Coturnix japonica: one gene and its partner. The protein of the gene in region 1 binds, or shares a complex with, the protein of each later gene. Links are inferred from orthologs where the notes say so. Each region holds a gene or a part of one and is shown on either strand. Other genes may lie near its edges.

Region 1 (10,060 bases):
ACAGCTGCTACCCCAGTCTGTGCACAAGGACCAAGTCAATGTTCATTATATATCCTTCCAGGAGCCCCTCATAGAGCAAATCACACCCAGGGTTCAGAAAAGCACAAGCTATCATCCTCCACCTAAGCACATCAGTGTAAGCGTACCCTGTGGCTTTCCCAGAAAGAAGACTGATTACCTCTCATAGCAGCCTAGGCCCTTTGCAGGCTACTCTTTCACCTTCTCCTTTTGTTGACATAGCCCTGAGAAGGCAACAGCGATTCCCAGCACACAGCCCTCGATACGAGACCCTTTGTGCCATAAAGCCCCGGCCGCAGAGCTGCACAGCCCTCAGTTCCTGCTCCCTGACCCCACAGGGACACAGAGGCAGGCACACACCCAAGGCCCCCCCACCTGCTGCCAAGAAATACCCACCTTCCTCTGGAATGTTTTGCAGACAGCACTGAGAGCTTCATTGGTTTCAACAACCAAAGCATCAAAGATTGGCACAACACTCTGAGACCTCTTACAACAAACAAAATAGAGATTCTTCTACAGCTCATATGTACCAGTTGCAGAAGTTATTGTATATCACAGGTAACGCAGATTCCTTTCCCTCTAGGGAAACTAACCAGTTCCTTCTAAGAATTTCTGAACAAGCACCATGAATTTGTTTAAAGGCAGTGCTCACTGAGCCCAGTTTGTCTTAATTCCTTACAATCCAGGAAGATACGGTTGTACAGAGACAATATTATTTAATAGACCACTTGTGATGAAGTTCTGTATCACATGTTTTAGAAAAGGTCATTACTTCCCCACGCAAACCTGACCTTGCTTATCATCAGCTTTACTAGTAACAACCTGAAATAAAGATGTCATATCATGTGCTGGTTGAGCCAGACCAGATAGTCACAATGAACTGGATCTCTGGATTTGCATTAACAAAGACCTGAAGGTCACAGATTAAAAACATACTGATAGAGCTAATGTTGTAGTGCATGATATACTCCTCGCTTTTTGTACATATCACAAGTGTAGCCAGCATTATTATAACGATGGATAAGTGTAAAACAAAGAAAACATTCCTGTCTAGCTTCCTCTTTTGCAATATCATGTCTACCCCCACTTACCTGTGTAGTTCTGCATCTGTTGTAACCTCACTATTTCACTTCCCACTACAAAAAAGCATTAAAAAAACAGCATGCTTTCCTACACAACCTAGTCTAGGGAACCTGCTCAAGGACAAGGTTGGACTAGATGATCTCCAGAGATCCCTTCCAACCATACAATGCTGTGATAACAGGCTGAGCAGAAATGTAAAGTACAAGCAAAAGCCAGAGAAGTGCTCAGAGCCTCACAGATACATGGCAAGAACTGCTGCTTCCATCACATGGGTCACAGCCAAGATGAGGCTGATAAAAGCAGCAGCATTTTGCAGAGACAGGTAAAGCAGGCTCTGTTTTCAGACTAAGAAGGTCTTCAGAAGCCCTAGTAAGCACTAAAAAGCAAGGCTGAAAGTTTTCTTGAAGCCTAATTTATAGCTTCTACATGATCCAAGTACATATCATTGCAGAGAAGTATTACTCAGCACCATCCCCATTCCCCGACTCCCAAAAGCAGAGCTGTCACTCCTGTAAACAGGAGCAGTGACCACTTTGGACACTTCCCTTTGTTTCAGTGCTGCAGATGGACACAAGCAGCTGAGCGGCCTCCCCCAGTGCTGGCTGGGGTCAGAGCAGTGAGGAGAGCAACCAGGGAGCAAAACACAAACTATTCCATCTGCGGGTGGAGTCCGACAGCTGCTGTTCTCCCAGCTCTGCTCCGCCTGCTTGTTCCTCCCCATATTCGTGTTTCAGTCCAATCCTGCTCTGTAGCTCCAAACGCTAAAACAAACCTTTGGATGTATGACAAAGGTACACCCATACATCTCTGAACCAATCTTACAAGCTAACAAAACTAGCTACCCAAAAGTGATCAGTAGTAAATCCACTTACCATGTAGCAGCTCAACTTGCTGTCCTATTTATCCCATCCCTCTCATGAAAGGAAGATCACCTGGGGGAAGCACTCTGAGCACCAAACATGCTTTCTCACAAGCTTGTTTCAGTTGTTTCCCCGGCCTTTCTCTCTGAGAATAAAATGTTACATGCATTCCTAAGATCCTTTTCCACTCACTTGGCAAGGCTTTTATTCTTTCTAGAGGTCCAAGTTCAAGCAAAGGAAGGCCAAAACAGCCCGCAGTGCGTGTGGGTGCATCCCCTGGGCATTGCAGCAGAGGTGCGTGCTGTTCCTCCTCCTTGCTCAGTATTTCAAAATCAGTCCCTGAGTCTCATGGAGTCATTTACATAGAAGAAACTCTGGAAAAAGAGAGATGATCCCTGAAAAGGCCTCCACTCAGAAGAAAAGTCATTCTCCTCAAGGCTCAGACACCTCACAGCTTTGTGGGCTGCAAGGGAATTGAGAGACCACGTCGTCTTCAGCGCAACAGATGTCATTTCTGAGGGCTCAGAATCTTGCTTTCCAAGAAGGATCTGGTTCACGCTTCATGTATGAAATAGAGATATTTATCACAGGTGGGAACATGCTTCATGTCCATGGAAACAAACATTCATAAAAGAAAACAACGTTTCAACTCCTGGTACTTTTTATCAGCAATCCAAAGTACGTAGTTTGTTCTGAAGCAGGGCAGCATATCAAGAGTAATTTCAACCTCTTTAAGACATAATCAAGCAAGACGATAAATAGCAGTTTTTTTGGAAACAATGTATTCAGGGAATAACCCCTCAGAGCAAGACTGGTGCTCTGCTGCCACCTACAGGGAGAGGATGGAATCACCCTCGGTACTATTCCACATGGAAACACCTTAGTGAAGAAACGGAGCTTGCACTTGTGGTCCTAAACCCCTTAACCAAACGGCAATTCTTCAAAGGCTCAGCAGCATTTACCCCAACATTCTGCCACGATTCAGCCTCCAGCAGCTTCTTTTCTCCACCGTAACCTCCCCAGAGTTAACAAAACCCTCCAGAGTGTTGATGAAGGAAAGGAAGGACCTCGGTGTGAATAAGTTCAGCTGCAACTTCAGTTTCTAGATGCTTGTGTTGCTGATCACACAACTCTTTGTTTCGTACTGAGGTGCTCACCTGTTTTTAGATCAGTAAGTGGAAGTGATGAGGATTATCAGTAGGGACAGTCCCTGTCCTGTACTGCTTTGCAGCAGCTCATCTGTTCTTTACTCTTTTTGTAGCATTATGACCAGGAAGAGATCTGCCAGTCTGATGGGGTAGAGGAGAACCATGGACATCTAAAGATCAAGAAGGGGGCTGCTGGCCGGGAAAACCCAGACTGCTAAATCAGTCTATGAGAACAGTACGATTCTTCTCACTGCTCCCTGCAAATTCTGGAGGGCAGAACAGTCAGAAACGATGGTAAGAGGGTAAGAAGAACAAGATAACGTGCCGGCACCTCCCGGCCTAAATCTAGTTCTCAAACAAGAAGACTGGAAGTGCATGCTGGCTCTAAGCACAACGGAGCAAGCAGCAAGCCTCAGCCCTAAGCTACCTTCGATATTAGAGAGGCTTTTGTTTTGACCAAACACAGTGAGGTAAAACAAGGTGACTGTGACAGCAACAGCTTTACACTGTGCTTCCTCCACAGCCCTGAGGTAACACCACAGCGCGGGAAGTGCTGCAGGACCCCGCGCGGCCTGTTCCTTTAGGTGTCCGCGCAGCTCGCCTGCACGAAGGGAATTCTTGGCTCCCAGCTCTCAGGCGCTGCGCAGACAGCTCTATGCGTGACGTGCCGCCTGGCGCCGGCTGTGAGGACCCGGTGTCGCTGCGGGGCTGTGGCGGCGTGTTCTGGAAGCTTCGCGGCTCCGTGAGCTGAGCGGGGCGAATCCGTCCCCATCCGCTCGGACCGGGGGTGTGTCGGCGGCGAGCGGCCATGCCGGAGAACACGGGACACAAAGCGCACGGCGGGGCCGGGAATCGGGCCAAGGGCACGTACCAGGACCGGGACAAGCCCTCCCAGATCCGCTTCAGCAACATCTCCGCCGGCAAAGGTGAGGGCCGCGGGGCATCGGCGCTGCCTGATGGTAGGCCGCTGTGTTAATAGGCCGCTGTGCTGATAGACCGCTGTGCTGATAGACCGATGTACTGATAGGCTGATGTACTTACAGGCCGCTGTACGCTCTGCTCGCTCCTGCCGCCTTAAAGCGGGAAGGCTCGGCCAGCTTCAGGGGCAAGCTGCAAAAATGGCCCCGTTGTATTATTGTATTATTGCTGTTCTGTTCTTGAGTGTGACTCGGTGCTGGTAAAATGAGGAGGGTGCCTTTGTAGTGGGAGACGCTGTTGAGGATGGTGTATGAGTGGTTGTAGCTCTGTAGATCATCTTGTAAATGGCGTTCTTCTCTTTCCAGCTGTCGCTGATGCCATTAGAACGAGCCTCGGACCAAAGGGAATGGATAAAATGGTAAGGCTTTTAATGGAAATACAAAAACTGAGATTGCTGAAGAGACTGTCATGCCCTGTGTAACTCACCAATGTGCTCCTTTGTCTTAAGCTGCTTTTCCAAGCTTGGAAAGCACTCCTTTGTTTTTATGATCAAATGTTATTTCTTTGTAGTAAAATGTAGCTTAAATTCTTATCTCAGTTTTCCTCACAAGGTTATTTGTCAAGCTGTCTGACGCTGAATCACGATAAACATTACTAGCTGCCAACCAGTGCTGTTTCTCCTTCTCAGATTCAGGATGCTAAAGGAGACGTGACAATCACTAATGATGGTGCTACTATCCTGAAACAGATGCAGGTTTTACACCCCGCAGCCAAAATGGTAAATACTTGTAACATCACTTGCACAACGGTACACGGTAGAGGTTCATTTCTGGGACAAGTGAACACAGATTGTAATGTCTCACGTGGGTGTCGTCTGTGATAGAGCAACAGCCTTTCTGCTGAGTGCTTCAGGTCTATTGACATTGATTGTGAGATGCGTTAAAGGATTCCAGGTCCTTATTTCTTACTGCTTAGGAATAATCTTTTCTGGATACGGTTGAAGATATAAAAGGTTTTTGACCCAAAGCTTTTCTTATCTGAGAAAGAAAAGTTGGTGATGTCCTGAACCAGTAGGACAAAGGAGAGTCAAAGAAGAAAACAAATGACATGATGATCTGGTGATCCTAGGATACAGCTTTTATTTTGTTGGAGGCTTCTGTTATTGCTCCAGCCAAATATGCATACACGTATGAGAAGCTGCAAGTTAGAAAAGATAAGCCCTGGTACTGTGGGTAATTCTGGTAGTGCTGTGTTCTGTCATATCTTTTTTATTTCTAACTGTCAGAGTTTTCAGTGAAGTCACATTACATTTAAACTCTCGTCCATTTAGTTGGTAGAGCTGTCAAAAGCACAAGATATTGAAGCTGGGGATGGTACTACATCTGTTGTTGTCATTGCCGGAGCTCTTCTGGATGCCTGTTCCAGACTCCTTCAGAAAGGCAAGCATATTTATTTTATATATATAACATATAATACATATTTCATATATAAGACTGGTTTGGAGAGAGGAGGAAAGACCGCTGGTTTGCAAGGGTGACCTAACAACCTTCTATGTTATTCACAGGAATTCACCCCACCATCATTTCAGAGTCATTCCAGAAAGCTTTGGAGAAAGGTATTGAGGTATTGACCAACATGGCACAGCCAGTGGAACTGAGCGACAGAGAAACCCTGCTGAACAGTGCAACTACATCACTGAACTCAAAGGTATGGCTGATACGTGAACAATCTGCAAAGCTCTCAATGGTTTTATTTTAAGAGTCAAAGAAATAAAGTCAAATTCGTTTTCCAAAGTCCCTGAGCTTATTTCTTCCCACCAGTGGGGCTCTTCTTTCCTCTTATTAAGAAGATAACCACGTTGATGCACCTGCCTGATGGACAGAGAGGGGAATTGTTGGTTTTTTTTCCAAGATTATAAAGTCAAACTAAAACAGAATAAGAACCTTGAGAAACTGCTGGCTGTTTTTGATCAGTGTTAAATCATGCATTGCTGATGTATTTTTCTCCCTTCCCTCATTAAATCCTTTAGGTTGTGTGTCAGTATTCCAGCTTACTTTCTCCCATGAGCGTGGATGCAGTGATGAAGGTGATTGACCCATCTATGGCTAACAGCGTGGACCTCAGAGATATTAAAATAGTGAAGAAGTTGGGGTAAGAAACAATCTTATTTAATTATCTAAATTATTTAGATATTCTTATTTAAATCTAAATTAATTATCTTAATTATAGGCCTGTGTCATTGTGGAATTGCTTCCCAAGGCACTAATAGCCACGGATTGTTTTTGTTTGCAGAGGAACAATTGACGACTGTGAGCTGGTGGAAGGGCTGGTCCTGACTCAGAAGGTGGCCAACACAGGTGTAACTAGAGTGGAAAAGGCCAAAATTGGCCTAATTCAGTTCTGCCTCTCTGCTCCAAAGACAGATGTAAGTTTAACTCAAGTGAGAAAACGTAAATGTAACAGCAAAATACGGATCTTGTTTAAGATGTGGTAATGGCAGCTCTATTCCACAGCTGTAATGAAGGCCTGCTAGTAATGAACCCCCATTACTCATAACTCTTAAACAATTTGTAGCTGGCATGAGAAAACAGTTCAGAACTCCAGTATCTCTCATAGAAACAAATTCTAATAGTACATTTGGCTGTAATCTGTTTGTACGTACTTTAAATCACAGGCTATTAAATCAAAGAATATATAGCATCCCAATGCTTATAAAATGAGCACTCGTTCATGATACTTGTTTCTTTTTCAATAGATGGACAACCAAATTGTTGTTTCTGATTACGCTCAAATGGACAGAGTACTGCGTGAGGAGAGAGCTTATATTCTAAACTTAGTGAAGCAAATTAAGAAGGCTGGATGCAACGTGCTGCTGATCCAGAAGTCTATTCTGCGGTACGTCAGTGCTGGTTTGCTCACCTGCTTTGGTCGTTTGGGGAACAGCGGGAATTGTTTGTAGTTCTGTAAAGTGGAAGTCAAAGATCAGGTTGATACGGAGTGATAGACTGTATCTGTCGCTCTCAGGGCTGGTGCTGTCACTAATGGGTTCTGGATTTCAGGATATCCCTACAAGGTAGTCTGAAGAATTTCAGCATTACTGCCAAGAAGCGGTTATGAAAATAATACCTTGGACTGAGTGCTCCCCTCTTGTTTTTAGGGATGCTCTTAGTGACCTCGCCCTGCATTTTCTGAACAAAATGAAGATCATGGTGGTTAAAGACATTGAAAGAGAAGACATTGAGTTTATATGTAAGGTAAAGTGAGTTACATAAACGTCTACTAAAATAACAGTTGTGTATGAAGACACCAGAACTGGAGTACCCAGCCAGTGCCAGTCTCTTCACACTTGAACAAATCTCACATTGGGAATGTAGTGTAAAGGCAGACAAAGATGTTTCACTGAAAGACATTCCCGTTCAGTAGAGCTGTCCCACTTTAAAGGGTGGATGTAAGAGCAGCAGTAGTACCTGTGCTTTACTGAAGTACACCATGGAGCATGGCTGCTGACTCTGCAGTTCAGATTAGTTTCCTTACTTTGTTTCTACTCTTATTTTTGCAGACCATTGGAACTAAGCCTGTTGCTCATATTGACCAGTTTACTCCTGACATGCTGGGCTCTGCTGAACTGGCAGAGGAAGTCAACTTGAACGGTTCTGGAAAACTAATAAAGGTGAGTGAGTGACAGAAGATTAATTCCTTCTGAACCATTCTTTTAATAACTGCTAACTTAAAAGTAATAACATAAGTAACAAGAGGCCTTAAAGTACCTGCTTGTCATCCCTGCCGAGCCTCTGGCTTGGGAAGCACAGTGGTTTTGCTCAGCAGACCTCAGTACTGTTAGTGCAGTTGCACAAACCAGATGAAGGCTTTCTCTTATTTCTCTTGTTTGGCTTTGTTCTAGATTACGGGCTGTACTAACCCTGGGAAAACAGTAACCATTGTGGTACGTGGATCTAACAAACTTGTTCTAGAAGAAGCCGAGCGTTCCATTCACGATGCCCTGTGTGTCATTAGATGCTTAGTTAAGAAAAGGTAACGTATCCATTTGGCCAGAATAATTTTGTATATTCACGTGGAAAACTCTTTACGAAGTTTGACTTCAATTTCTGTCCCCAGAGCTTTAATTGCAGGAGGTGGAGCACCAGAGATAGAGCTGGCCCTGCGCCTCAATGAGTACGCCCGCACTTTGAAGGGCATGGACTCGTACTGCGTGCGTGCCTACGGGGATGCACTGGAAGTCATACCATCTACACTGGCTGAAAACGCAGGTCTCAATCCTATCTCAACAGTAACAGAGCTGAGGAACAGGCATGCTCAAGGAGAGAAAACAGCCGGCATTAATGTCAGAAAGGTAATGAAGAAGTTGTACATAGAACTCTGTAGCTTAAATAAATAGGCTGTTAAAAGGAAGATGTACTACCTGAAATCTGAAATACAGAGAACAAAATTCTTGCTAAAGTTAGGAACTTACCCTGAGTACTGCTAATGGCAGGTTCTCATTCTACATCCATGGCGTTCTGGTACCTTCACATTTCTCTTCAAAAACAGTTTTCCAGCTGGAGTCACAGTGAACTTAAAGCAGGCAGGTGTGGTTAGAAGGGTTGGGGGTAGTACATGCAGTACTGCTGGGACAGCGTCTTGTTTGAACTGCTAACAGCTATGGCTGGTTTTTCTCTTGGCTCACTTTGAGTGGATACATCAGATACTCAGCAGCAGCCCTTTACAGTAATATTCCTGTTGAGAACTGAAGCGTGCAAGCTAATTGATAGTCTAACTCAGCACAGCATCACTTCTGGGATCCTATTAGAAGGTGTTAAACGTGGTTGTAGGCTCACGTGCACAAAGTGATGGTGCCTTCCTCTTGCAGGGTGGCATTTCCAACATCCTGGAGGAGCTGGTGGTGCAGCCGCTGCTCGTGTCTGTGAGCGCCCTGACTCTGGCAACAGAAACTGTGCGCAGCATTCTTAAGATTGACGATGTGGTGAGTAGCGTTTGTATCACGTTCTTGTTGATAAATGCCAGAATAGGTGGAAACACAGATGATACTATCAGCTGTTTCTACCATTTGGTCATCTAAAAACAGGGCACGGGAGAATTAAACTGCTATTGGCATAAGCAGGGTACCTTAAAGCAAGATGTTGCAGTGACTGTAACAATACATAAGCAAAGAAGTCATTGTTACTGTATTGTGTGGACCTCTCACATGTGCTGTTGTGCTTTTGCAGGTGAACACTCGATAAGCTGGATAAAGGAAGCTGGGACTGTGCTCTGCAGCTCCTCAGATGGTCTGAGCTGCAGCTTCCTCACCAGAAGCGCCTGTGTGAATTGTCTTAAAAGTCCACGAATGCTTATATGTACTTTTCTCATGTTAATTTAATACATTTCCTGGTTTCGGAAAGGAAATGCTGTTTATCAATAAACAGGCACCAGTCTACTTGAGTCTTTGCTTGATGATTTCACTAGAAAGGAGGTCGACTTCACTAGTTTGAATTAAATTAGCATTTACATTAGCGTTCCACATCATTGCAGCTCACATAGCATAGTTAGCTGATCCAGGCTTTGCTTCCCATTACAAGGTGTTCCCCATTTGGGCTGTGGCCCGGCCATCCCATGGTGCTAACAGGGCTCAGTGCTCAATGATTCCACCTCCAAGAGGTAGAAGACCATTCCTGACCTTAGTTTACCCGTACTCACTAATAATCCCCCATTTGTCTGGAGCTCAAACCTCTTAGAACGGGAGGTGACCAATGAGCGGAACCAGCCGCGCCCCCTCACACAGCCCCAGACGCCCCGTGCCCTGCAGCCGGCTGCGGTACCGGGCCCTGCGGTACCGGGCCCTGCGGTACCGGGCCCTGCGGTACCGGGCCCTGCGGCCCCGCCTCTCCCGTCCCGACACGTCCCCGCCCCTGCACGCAGCCATGGAGGCTCCGCACAGCGCGGAGCCGCCCGCCGCCTGCCCCCGTGCTCCCCTGGAGCCGCACAGCCGGGCGCCCGCTGCCCACAACCCACGGGATCCGCAGCACAGCGCGCAGG
Region 2 (10,050 bases), on another chromosome or scaffold:
TCTGTTATTGTCCCATCTACCCCATTAAGGATGACATTTTCTAATGGCACCCCAAACGTCAACTCATCAAACATCTCAGAGTACAGGATGTACAAGAGTGGAGTAAAAGATGGTACAAGTCATAGGCACATAGCAGTCTCACACGGTTCAGTCATTAGATGCATTTTGTCCTTCTGCCACCCAATGATCAGCACTAGCAGGTGTATCCTCATGCATGCCCAGACTGCTTTGTGAAGGAGACTTGGTGAGAGACCTCTCGTGGTCACTTCCATACTATGTAATGATAATAAATGCATGCCCACATCTGCGGTCTGAAATTAAGAGTTGGCAGTACATAGGCTGTCCTGTCCAGCACTGGTTATAGATATGTATTTAAAAACTGAATGTGCTGAGTAGAGATGAAACATTATCAGTATAGGAAGATGTGCATGGCAAACTCACAACCAGAGCAAGATATCTCACCGTAGGTCCTTGGATGAAAGTACCTGACAGGCACAGAGAGGATGTACTGAAAGCAAAGACTGAAGGCAGAACAGAATACTGCATTGATTCATGGACTGTAACAGGAGAAACCAGTGGTCCAGAGAACCACAAAAGCCTACCTGCAGTTATTGCCCTTCTCCTTCCTTAAAGAGGCTCAAGAGAGCTAGTAACAGAAGCAAAAATGCATCCAAAGCTCTAGCTACTTTTTAGATTATACTTTAAATTGAATGTGTTGAATCAGTGACACAAAATGAAGTTTCTGCCCTCCTTACTAGAAAGTTGATAAGCTTTAAAAATAAATTGAGTAGAGTATGGCAGCTGTGCCTGCGCTAAGACAGCTGAACTGCTAACAGCAGCCAATGTGGAGAGAGAAAGGCTGAGGATATGACATTCATTCCAAACCATCTCACAGAGGGTCTTATTTCAGACCAGCTCTTGCCTTACTTTTTGGATCAAACGCCCCTTGGTGGCTGCTCCTCCCAGTTAGCACCCTCCTAAAGAAGCCCAGCTGATATACTAGAGCTCATTTCAAGGTATGAAACAATACACACTTAAACAAGGGCAAGCAAAGAAAAGCCATGCAGACTTCTGCTAGAATCTGCTTAAATGACTCCTAGAGAAGTAATTTCTTGGCTTTCCTTTGGAGAATAAAAGCGATCCTTTTCCTAGATTGTACAGGCAAGCAGCAAAAAAGGCTCAGGTCTGGTAGCATTTTGGATAGCCCAGTGTCAAGAAGTGTGTCAGTACATACAACATGTAACAACCAACATTTATCAGCTGGCATCCTGCTGCGTTTTGCTCACTTCCACAGTGTTGTTTTAGTTGTTTTACCAAAGAAACAAAAGTCAAAAAGATGTGACACTCAAATCCTCATGCAGATCTCAAGATTTCATCAGTGTCTACTGTTCCAATCCAAAATAAGCACACAGCTCAGTGTCAGAAGAGCTGTAATTCAGGAAAGGAAGAGATAGAGCTGAACTAAGACTTCAGTCATTACTTCTTTACCTTGAAGAGCTCTACACACCGCCCACACTCTCCACCCAGCATCTACACAGGGCAGGCTAACAGAAGGCCAAATTCAGTGCCATGCTGTAACTCACCATGTTTAAGATCAATTATTTATACTAACACACTCAAACCATTACACTTTAGGCCAGATCATATTTTATGCTTTAAAATAAAGTGTCAGCAGTTTATTAATAAAATAACAACAACAGACTTTAGTATCTACCAATACCTGTATTTTAAAACTTGGAGTAAGATTTACTCAGGCTCTGTAATACAAAAAGTCTTTTACAATCTCAAGTGAAGGTGCCTTGAAATGCTCCCCTTCTGGGGTTCAGGAAGATCTTGATGAGCACCTCCAGTCCTTTGGGCAGGAACACTGTCTGTAAGTGTATTGTATCAACCCCGATGCTGATGTAGGAGTTAGTCATCCTCTGAGTCACTCTCTCCCCTGGTTGGGACGCATGCCCTTATGGAGGACATGAGCTGGTCTTGGATCTGTTTCCTGGGGTTCTCCTCAAGGTCTGTCTTGATGGCACCTGACTCCGAGATCTTCCACTCCAGTTCTGCACAGAGCAAAGTAAGAGTGCCATGAATATGGGGAAGCAAACTAGGCTGATTTCCATCTCTGACTCCTTTTGATATATGCTTATTAATTTACCTCGACACACATTTCCTCACCTTTCTGATTTACTCTCAAAAGAGAAAAGGACATCAGATCTTGACAATACTCCTCAGTTCCTCCCAACTTGTTTCTCCAGATGGTTTCTCTTATCACCCTACCACGAACATCATCAAAACCAGGGCCATACTCTCTCCCTCTTTGTTGACAAGCCAACAAGTATCCCTTTACCTCTAATTAAGTCCAGGAATTGCATCAGTTCCACTTACTTTCCAACAGGTAGGGCCTTTTCCATTGCACAACTGTCTCCAAGCACAACTTTATGATACTATTCCCTGCCAACCTGCAAACCACAGCTTTCTAAGTACCTTTACATTGGCCTACACTTGCTGCTTTTAAAATATCACTTCAATCATGTGTTGTTGAGCCAAAAGGTGGGGAGGGAAGATAACGATTATCATCATGCAGCTCTTAGTGATCTCCATTCTCCTTATTCTCACATAACTTCTTTAGTTTCCCACAAAGATATTCACAGCAGATGGATGCAGACACTCACCATCCCTCGTCAAGTTCATGCCACCGAACACCAAAGGCCCAATGAACTGAGCTCTGATGTCTCCTTCAAGGTAGACAAATATCGTAGGCAGATTCTTGTCGGGGTAGTTGGGTATGCAGGTGGTAGAGATAGCTTTGATGAATTTCACATCTCTGAACTTTTTTGCAAGTCCACTTAAATGTTGGTTTATTAAGGCACAGAGTGGAATTCTGCCAAGAACAGACAGAGACACACATAAGAACTAAAAAAGACTCATCTGATAGCAATCTTCTCCAGAAGACAAACCAGTCAGAAATAACAGTTCAGTGGGAAGATCAATGTACCAGAAACAACCTCTGACTACTTCTGTTGTTCAATACTCCAGCATCCAAATAAACTTAGTACCACTAAGTAAACTTAGTGTGGTTTATCTTTGGTTTGTTTGTTCATTTTAATTGCTTTAATTGCTCGTTTTTAATTAAGATACCAGCAGCATCACTTCATGGTAACATCCTTTTAACAGCAAAGCTCAACTCTCTTGAAGCCAACAGAAAGCAAATTACTAGTAACTCCCTTAACTCCACATTGAGTTCCTCAGTTTCCACGTTAACTACACGTTTGTCAGGAGCCAAGAAAGGTTTAGAGGTTAAATAAGATCTTACCCCTGTTTGTAGAGGTGCAGGACTACCCATATGCCTTTCCCAGCTTTTGTAACCTCTTGAACATAATCCTTTCCAGAAATCTCCAAAACTTCTCCAAATTTATTCTTCATTTGAGCCGCTTTCATTTCTGCTAATCTTTGCTGTCTGGAACAACAAAGAATGGGAAAGAGATCTTAAAAATAGATACATTAAAAGTATCTGGCTGAAACTTAGAGGCAGGTTACAAACACGTTGAAACTCCAAAGTGATAAAAGCAAGTTGAAGTAGGCTACAGACATTGTTATATTTGCACCACATATTCAATCTATCAATATGCAGCAAATACAGTTGTGCTCCATGAAAGGAATTTGATGTTTCCTCTGCAGATGCTATGCTATGAAGCCGGACGGTAGAAATAACAAGAGATACACAAGCAAAATAAGAAAGATTTCAATAAAGCAAGTTCCACACGATGCTCTAACCTGTACATTTCAATAGCTCTCTCATCTTCCTCATTAAATTCATCCTCATTTTCTTCTAGCTCCTCCAGAGTCATGTCCTCATATGTTTTCACTAGAAAAGAAGCAGTATCATATCAGCAAGTATCTCATTCTGGGAACAAAACTCATCAGCCTTTCAGTCGAACAGAATTTAGGTATGAGACATGTTTTTTTTTCCCCTCCAACATTACACTACCTTTTCAGATAACATTATGTACTCTATACATATAGATGTAAAGACAACGGTGATTCTAAGCCAAAGGCTGGCTACACTGATACGTAAATACCACAGCTAGCTTTCAAGCTCTGTGACTTCAGCACAAACATACAATACAGCAGGGATGGCTGAATAATGGAGTACACATACAATGTTTGTGAGGTGTTTTATCTGTACATTCATATGACATACTCCTCTGAGACAGTTCTTGTTTTAATTGTATATGTTTCAAAATCATGGAGTTGTCATCAAGAAGAGAGTCTTCCTGCTCTGGAAGAGGCCATATATTCTGGAACGTATTTGTCTGATACTGTTAACAGACACATCGCCCTGCAGAAGAATTAGCTCAGGTATCCAGTCAGGGGGGTTGGAACTTCATGATACTTGAGGTCCCTTCCAACCCAGGTCATTCTGTGACTTTGTGATCCCTCACAGGTTAAGAAGAGGACACGTTGCTTCACAGGCACATGGGCTCACCCAGAGACTTCTGAAGGATTTCAAACTGCTCTTCTTCCTTTGCACGCTCCTGCTCTTCTCGGTTTTCCTTCGGAGGAAGGATCCCTTTCTTACGCAGGATGTCATTCCACTCAGTGTCTTTCTCTGGGTCCTACAGTAAAACAAGAAATGGATGACTGGTATTTAGGAGAGCTTTGGTACGTTCAAGCAAGACATAGCACAGTGATGAAGTGTAACCATCTGGATGCGGACAACATCATAAAGTCACAGCACACATTCTCCTGACACCAAGGCTTCCCAAGACACACTACTTGTGCACTAAGGGCTCTTCAACACTCACAGAATCACAGAATTGTAGGGGTTGGAAGGGACCTCTAGAGATCTCCAACCCCCTGCAAAGCAGCTCCTACACCACTCCACACGATGAGGCGTCCAGGCGGGTCTGAATATCTCCAGAGAAGGAGACCCACCACCTCCCTGGCAGCCTGTTTCCAGGCTCACCCTCACTGTAAAGAAGTTCTTCCGCACATTCATGCGGAACTTCCTATGCTGTACTTTCATCCCATTACCCCTAGTCCTGTCCCCACGCACTACTGAAAAGAGACCAGCCTCACCACTATGGCTCCCACACCTCAGGTATTTATAAACCTGGATCAAATCCCCTCTCAGCCTTCTTTTCTCAAGGCTAAAATAGATGACTCCTGTCATCTATCAACACGCAGAAGTGCTTAAACCACGCACCCACCTGCTTACTTCAACAGCAAAACGCATACTGCCCTTTAAGAGACAAGAGCCCAACCCGGCGCCCCACAACGCCATGCACGGCCGCAGCCCAGCTCGGGGAGGAGCATCGGAAAGACCCGGGGCCGGCAGCCTATACGGCTCCGCACATCGCTCCACCAGGCTCCCCCGCGTTATGAGGCTGGGTCAAGGCCGGGCAAGGCCGCCACGACCCCCGGCTCTCACCTGCATCTTGCCTGCGGGACAGCGGCCTGCGGAGCGGCGGGGCTGGGCAGGGCCGGTCCCGGCGTGCGCGGCGCGGCGAGGCGGGGCTGGCGGACGGGGCGGGGCGAGGGCGGTGTCGCCACTGCCGCTTCCCGGAGCCTAATAAGCGCCTAATAAGGCAGGGCCTGCCGTCAGTTCGGTATAGGCCCGATTGGGGGCTCGGTTCCTTCTGCTGTGGTGATGCTGAGCCTGTGACAGACAGCTACAGACCGTGGGTTTCTGAGGGATTCTCGTCTGCCTGTTGCAAGCGAGCTGTGTGAAAATCCAGACAGTCCTTTCCAAATGAGAGAGAAAGGAGTGAAATCCAGCAGTTCAGGGCTGTGATCACTGACCTGAGGTGCCCGACCACCCTCTGGTGATACCTAGATAGTCACTTTGAGTCACATTGAGATTGATAGCCACAGCTGCAGTTGACAGTGATCATTAAAATGAATATTTGGATGCATGGAATGTGTCCTATAGCCCTGGAGGATTGGAACACTCAATGTTTATGTGCACCATATGTCCATCATTGTGGAAGCTGGGGTTGTCTAAGTGGTGAATATCTTCTCTGGAGATATTCAAGACCCGCCTGGACGCCTACCTGTGCAATGTGGTGTAGGGAACCTGCTTTGGCAGGGGGGTTGGACTCGATGATCTCTAGAGGTCCCTTCTGACCCCTACAATTCTGTGATTCTGTGAATCTACTGCAGGCCCTCTCTATAAATCACAGTATTTTAGTTCTGACCCACAGTTAACACCCGGCAAGCAGAATAGAAGGCTTAATTGTTTCCATAGCTTTCAGTGTACAAATGTTTTGTTGGGGCCTGAGCTTTAAGAGGGCCCTTGCTGGTTAAATATTCATCTTCTGAAGCTGAAAATACCATTCACATGCATGGTTCTTGCACATTGCTCTTGGAACCTGTTTTGGGCACCTAGAAACAACTACAAAAAGGGCATAAGCAGAAAGAGTACACTCATTATTTACAAGGTGAATGAAAAGAGTTCCTGCCCTGACCCCAAGCACCAGAAGCCCATATTTTCAGATTAAGCTGTGAGTTACCAGAGAAGCTCACACCTAGAAGCATCCCCTTCACATCACTTCAGGTGCTGAAGGGCCTCCTCTGCCTAAGGCACCCACAGTACTCTGCTTCCTCCCCACACACAACTTGATTAAAACTCACATTTCCTCTATATACTTATCTAAAGCCTTAGCAGGAAAGTGAGGATTAATTTTTACACGTGGTACATGAACAGAAACATTCCATCCCCAACAACTAAGAGCTGATATTATCACAAAGACTGAGCTACAGGTGTAGTTTAGCCCTTGAAGACAACTTGGGCTTCCACGCCCCCTCCAAGAAGGATTTACCTCAGGGTGTCTGTATTTCTTCCTTTTCCCTCCAATCAAGTGTTTGGAGGAAGATGAGCCACATGTGGGAATGACTCATTAATTGTCCAGGTGAGCCCACTAATGGGGAGAAAATCTTGCTCATAAAAGGCACTGCTCCAGGCTAAGGGAAATGGGTTCCTGAGGATTGTTTGTCTTTGACTGTGGCCTATAGCAAAGTGAAGATTAGGCTACAACAGCTCTTTGGAAGGTAACAGGATATCTTTTTTTCTTCTCTGATGCTTAGGGAAAAAGTTGGGGTTACTTTGTAGAGAAACTGTGAGTGTAGCATAGTATATCTGCAGTGTAAGCTATCAGAAAATGTTTGGTGGGGGTAATAAGCTTTGGCTTGGCTTAGGCTTTGTTATGGGGTGGGTTTTTTGTTTTGCTTCTTCCCTTTTAAACTTTATTCTGTTGTCTTGTAAATACTTAAGTTTTTCTTTTTAAAAGCTACACAAACTATATTAACCTAATAATAGATGTTCTTGTATATTATAAACAGTTGTGCTAGAAGTAGTATTTTAAGTCTGAGTAAATAAGAGAATTAAGTATGTTTTCTACTTTAACTGTGGATATTCTTTAGCTGGACTGAATTTCTTGATTAGAGTTCTAGTAAACTGACAGTAATATCTATGTTTATCATGTATGTTGTCAAAGTTAATTCATTCTCTCTGATGTAGAGTAGCCTCCATAGACTTATGGCAGTTACAGAATCTATTGTGGGATGAGTTTAGAGACTACAGTGGGCTGTGTGAGTGCTTGAGGTGTTGTATGTAATACAAATTCAGAAAATCTAATGTAATAACAGAAGTTTGAATGCAGAGTCCTGGAAAAAAGGGGTAGCCTTGGTCTTTAGCTAGTATTGAGGTAAGTTATTGTTTAAGACAAACCTTGTGTGAGGTCCTGCCTCCATCTTGCCTCAATCTCCAGTACACTCTAAATACTGAGAAACTTTTTTTTGAGCTCTTTGCATCTGCTTCAGTAAGTTTTACTGATTGCTTTTCAAACCACTCTGGCTCATTCAAAAACTGGCTGTTAAGTAGCAGTTATCCTAGATCTATTCTTAATGAACTTCAGTAGGTTGCTCTTCCTACAAGCTTTCTGCTTGGTATAGAAGAGTGGAAAGTGTAACTATCCTTGCTGTTATCTCCTCTTGTTATCAGTTACCTGTATCCAAAGCACCTGGGTAGTGTGAAAACCTCCAATTCTTTGTCTCTCTGTGCTATTTAGAATGTCTGGACGGGGGAAGAAACTTGCAGTGGCTGGCAAGCCTGAAGTTGCACCAAAGAAAGCAAAGTCAGTCCTGGCTGGTCTGCAGTTTCCTGTGGGTCGAGTCTACAGGCTCCTTAAGAGAAGCCACTATGCTGAAAGGATCAGCCCTGGTTCTGCAGTCTACATGGCTGCTGTGCTGGAATACCTGACTGCAGAGATCCTGGAGCTGGCAGGGAATGCTGCACGGGACAACAAGAAGGCCAGGATCCTGCCTCGACACATTCAGCTGGCTGTGAGGAATGATGATGAGCTGAGCAAGCTCTTCTCCTGTGTGACCATCGCTCAAGGAGGGGTTATGCCCAATATCCTTCCCCAGCTCCTTCCCAAGAGAACGCCCAAAAGTACTAATGTGTCTCAGGAACAGCCCGGTAGCCAGTGAAACTTGCTTTTTCTGGTCTGATCTATGCACTTATAATGGGACTCAGCTCTAATTTGTTTAATTCTTTGTAGTTTTTTCCACTGTTTTTATAATGTACTTTTAAAGATTGTAATAAAAGTTCCTGGAAAGCAACTCTGTTCTCCTTTCCACAGCTTCATTTCCACAGAGATGTGATTGCCTTGTCGTTTTCTTAATCTAGCATTCCACCCACATAACTTCTTAAATCTGCTTGTTTACTTCTATAATATGTTTCCAGGTAAAGGTTGTAGAGCAGGCAGAGGAATCAAGACATGTTCGTGTGAATGCTTATCATGAACTCAGTTAGTTCAGCACCTTGCAGGTTAATTCTGCATTAGGAATTGATTACCCTTTGCTTTAACACCTTACTGTTTGGGGAGCTGCAATGAGCTATCTCTTGCAGGAGACTAAACTACTCTCTTCTCCTTGTCATACTGACTACAGGGGGCATACTTAAACCTTGTGCTGTTGGTGGAGGTGATTTTCTTGCTTCTTTCTATTGGTGTGGAATAACTAAAGAAACTCCCAGGCCTTTGCTAACCAACTCATTGGAAGTGAAAGCTTTCCATTGAGAAGGTTCCTAGGCTTTTCTCTCTGTTTGTAGTGGATGTTGAGATTTGCTATTGAGTGGGAAAATGGGATCTGGCGCAAGTGTAGTGGGATCAGTCTGCCTTTGAGGTACTGCCTCACAGACTTCACAGCATCTCACAGAGAAGAGCTGGTTAGGACCATCTTACTAAACTACAAGCAGAGTGAAAACCTGTTTTCTAAGAGATATGCCTGTCATGTTGAATTTGACCTGGGTGCCCTCAAAGCATGAGTATGTCAGAACCTACAGGTCAGCCTTTACAATCTTGAGGGACTTTGGAGCTGTAGTGATTCACAAGGTAAATAGCTCAAAGCTGCACTTGAGTAGGAGTGCAAAAGGAGAAGGATACCTGAGCAAAGTGAACATCTTGAGTTTTTCACAGTAGTGGGCAATTGAAGGTGTTGTATCAGCCTGTTTGCAAAGATCAGTTTGATGAGGTTTTGGCTGGAGTGAGAAAGTGGGGGATGTTGGAGTAAAGAGATGTAAAAACACCTGGAAGTAGACCCATAGCTTTGTGTGTAATGATATATTGTATCATAGAATAATTAAGGTTGGAAAAGCCCTCTAAAATCATTTAGCCCAAGTGTTCTCCTATCACCAATATTACCCACTATGTCCCTCAGTGCCACATCCACACATTCTCAAACACCTCCAGAGACGATGATTCTACCACTTCCCTGGGCAGCCTGTGCCACTGCCTCACCATTCATTTGAAGAAGCTGTCCTTCCCAGTATCCAGCCTGAATGTCCCCTAGCACAACTTAAGGCTTTTCTTCTAGTCCCTCTTGTCCTACATACAACTTCATCCTTGTGCTGTTAACTGCAGAAAGAAATGTTTTAAAGGATATATATAAGAAATAAACGTGTGAAAATCAAATTAATCCCACTATTTGACCATATAAAGCCATGATGGAAAGGATTATTTCTTTCAGTGAAGCAAAAATCTACAACTTGCAGTA

Evidence for each region. Proteins that work in one complex are often made in the same cells at the same time.
Region 2: the proteins of CCT4 (region 1) and PDCL3 are in contact, whole or in part, in a cryo-EM structure (PDB 8I9Q), measured with the Homo sapiens proteins. The link is inferred for Coturnix japonica from reciprocal best matches to the Homo sapiens genes CCT4 and PDCL3. Residues at the interface, in NP_006421.2 of Homo sapiens: Val266, Gln271, Met272, Leu276, Glu279, Arg280, Leu312, His315; in NP_076970.1 of Homo sapiens: Ala70, Ile71, Tyr74, Arg75, Arg78, Leu79, Trp82, Lys86.

What each region holds. Positions count from the first base shown.
Region 1 is NC_029518.1:13,358,846-13,368,905, forward strand, and holds CCT4 (T-complex protein 1 subunit delta), read left to right. Parts: upstream 1-3,772; 5' UTR 3,773-3,917; coding exon 3,918-4,035; intron 4,036-4,392; coding exon 4,393-4,445; intron 4,446-4,715; coding exon 4,716-4,805; intron 4,806-5,357; coding exon 5,358-5,466; intron 5,467-5,591; coding exon 5,592-5,734; intron 5,735-6,056; coding exon 6,057-6,178; intron 6,179-6,319; coding exon 6,320-6,452; intron 6,453-6,782; coding exon 6,783-6,922; intron 6,923-7,184; coding exon 7,185-7,281; intron 7,282-7,586; coding exon 7,587-7,697; intron 7,698-7,928; coding exon 7,929-8,059; intron 8,060-8,143; coding exon 8,144-8,378; intron 8,379-8,894; coding exon 8,895-9,008; intron 9,009-9,252; coding exon 9,253-9,267; 3' UTR 9,268-9,466; downstream 9,467-10,060. Other genes in the region: protein FAM161A, read left to right, coding at 9,775-10,059. UniProt on the Homo sapiens protein: Component of the chaperonin-containing T-complex (TRiC), a molecular chaperone complex that assists the folding of actin, tubulin and other proteins upon ATP hydrolysis.
Region 2 is NC_029516.1:119,999,093-120,009,142, reverse strand, and holds PDCL3 (phosducin-like protein 3), read right to left. Parts: upstream 5,533-10,050; 5' UTR 5,432-5,532; coding exon 5,426-5,431; intron 4,611-5,425; coding exon 4,481-4,610; intron 3,860-4,480; coding exon 3,769-3,859; intron 3,452-3,768; coding exon 3,308-3,451; intron 2,876-3,307; coding exon 2,667-2,875; intron 2,055-2,666; coding exon 1,912-2,054; 3' UTR 1,645-1,911; downstream 1-1,644. Other genes in the region: histone H2A, sperm-like, read left to right, coding at 8,065-8,484. UniProt on the Homo sapiens protein: Acts as a chaperone for the angiogenic VEGF receptor KDR/VEGFR2, increasing its abundance by inhibiting its ubiquitination and degradation.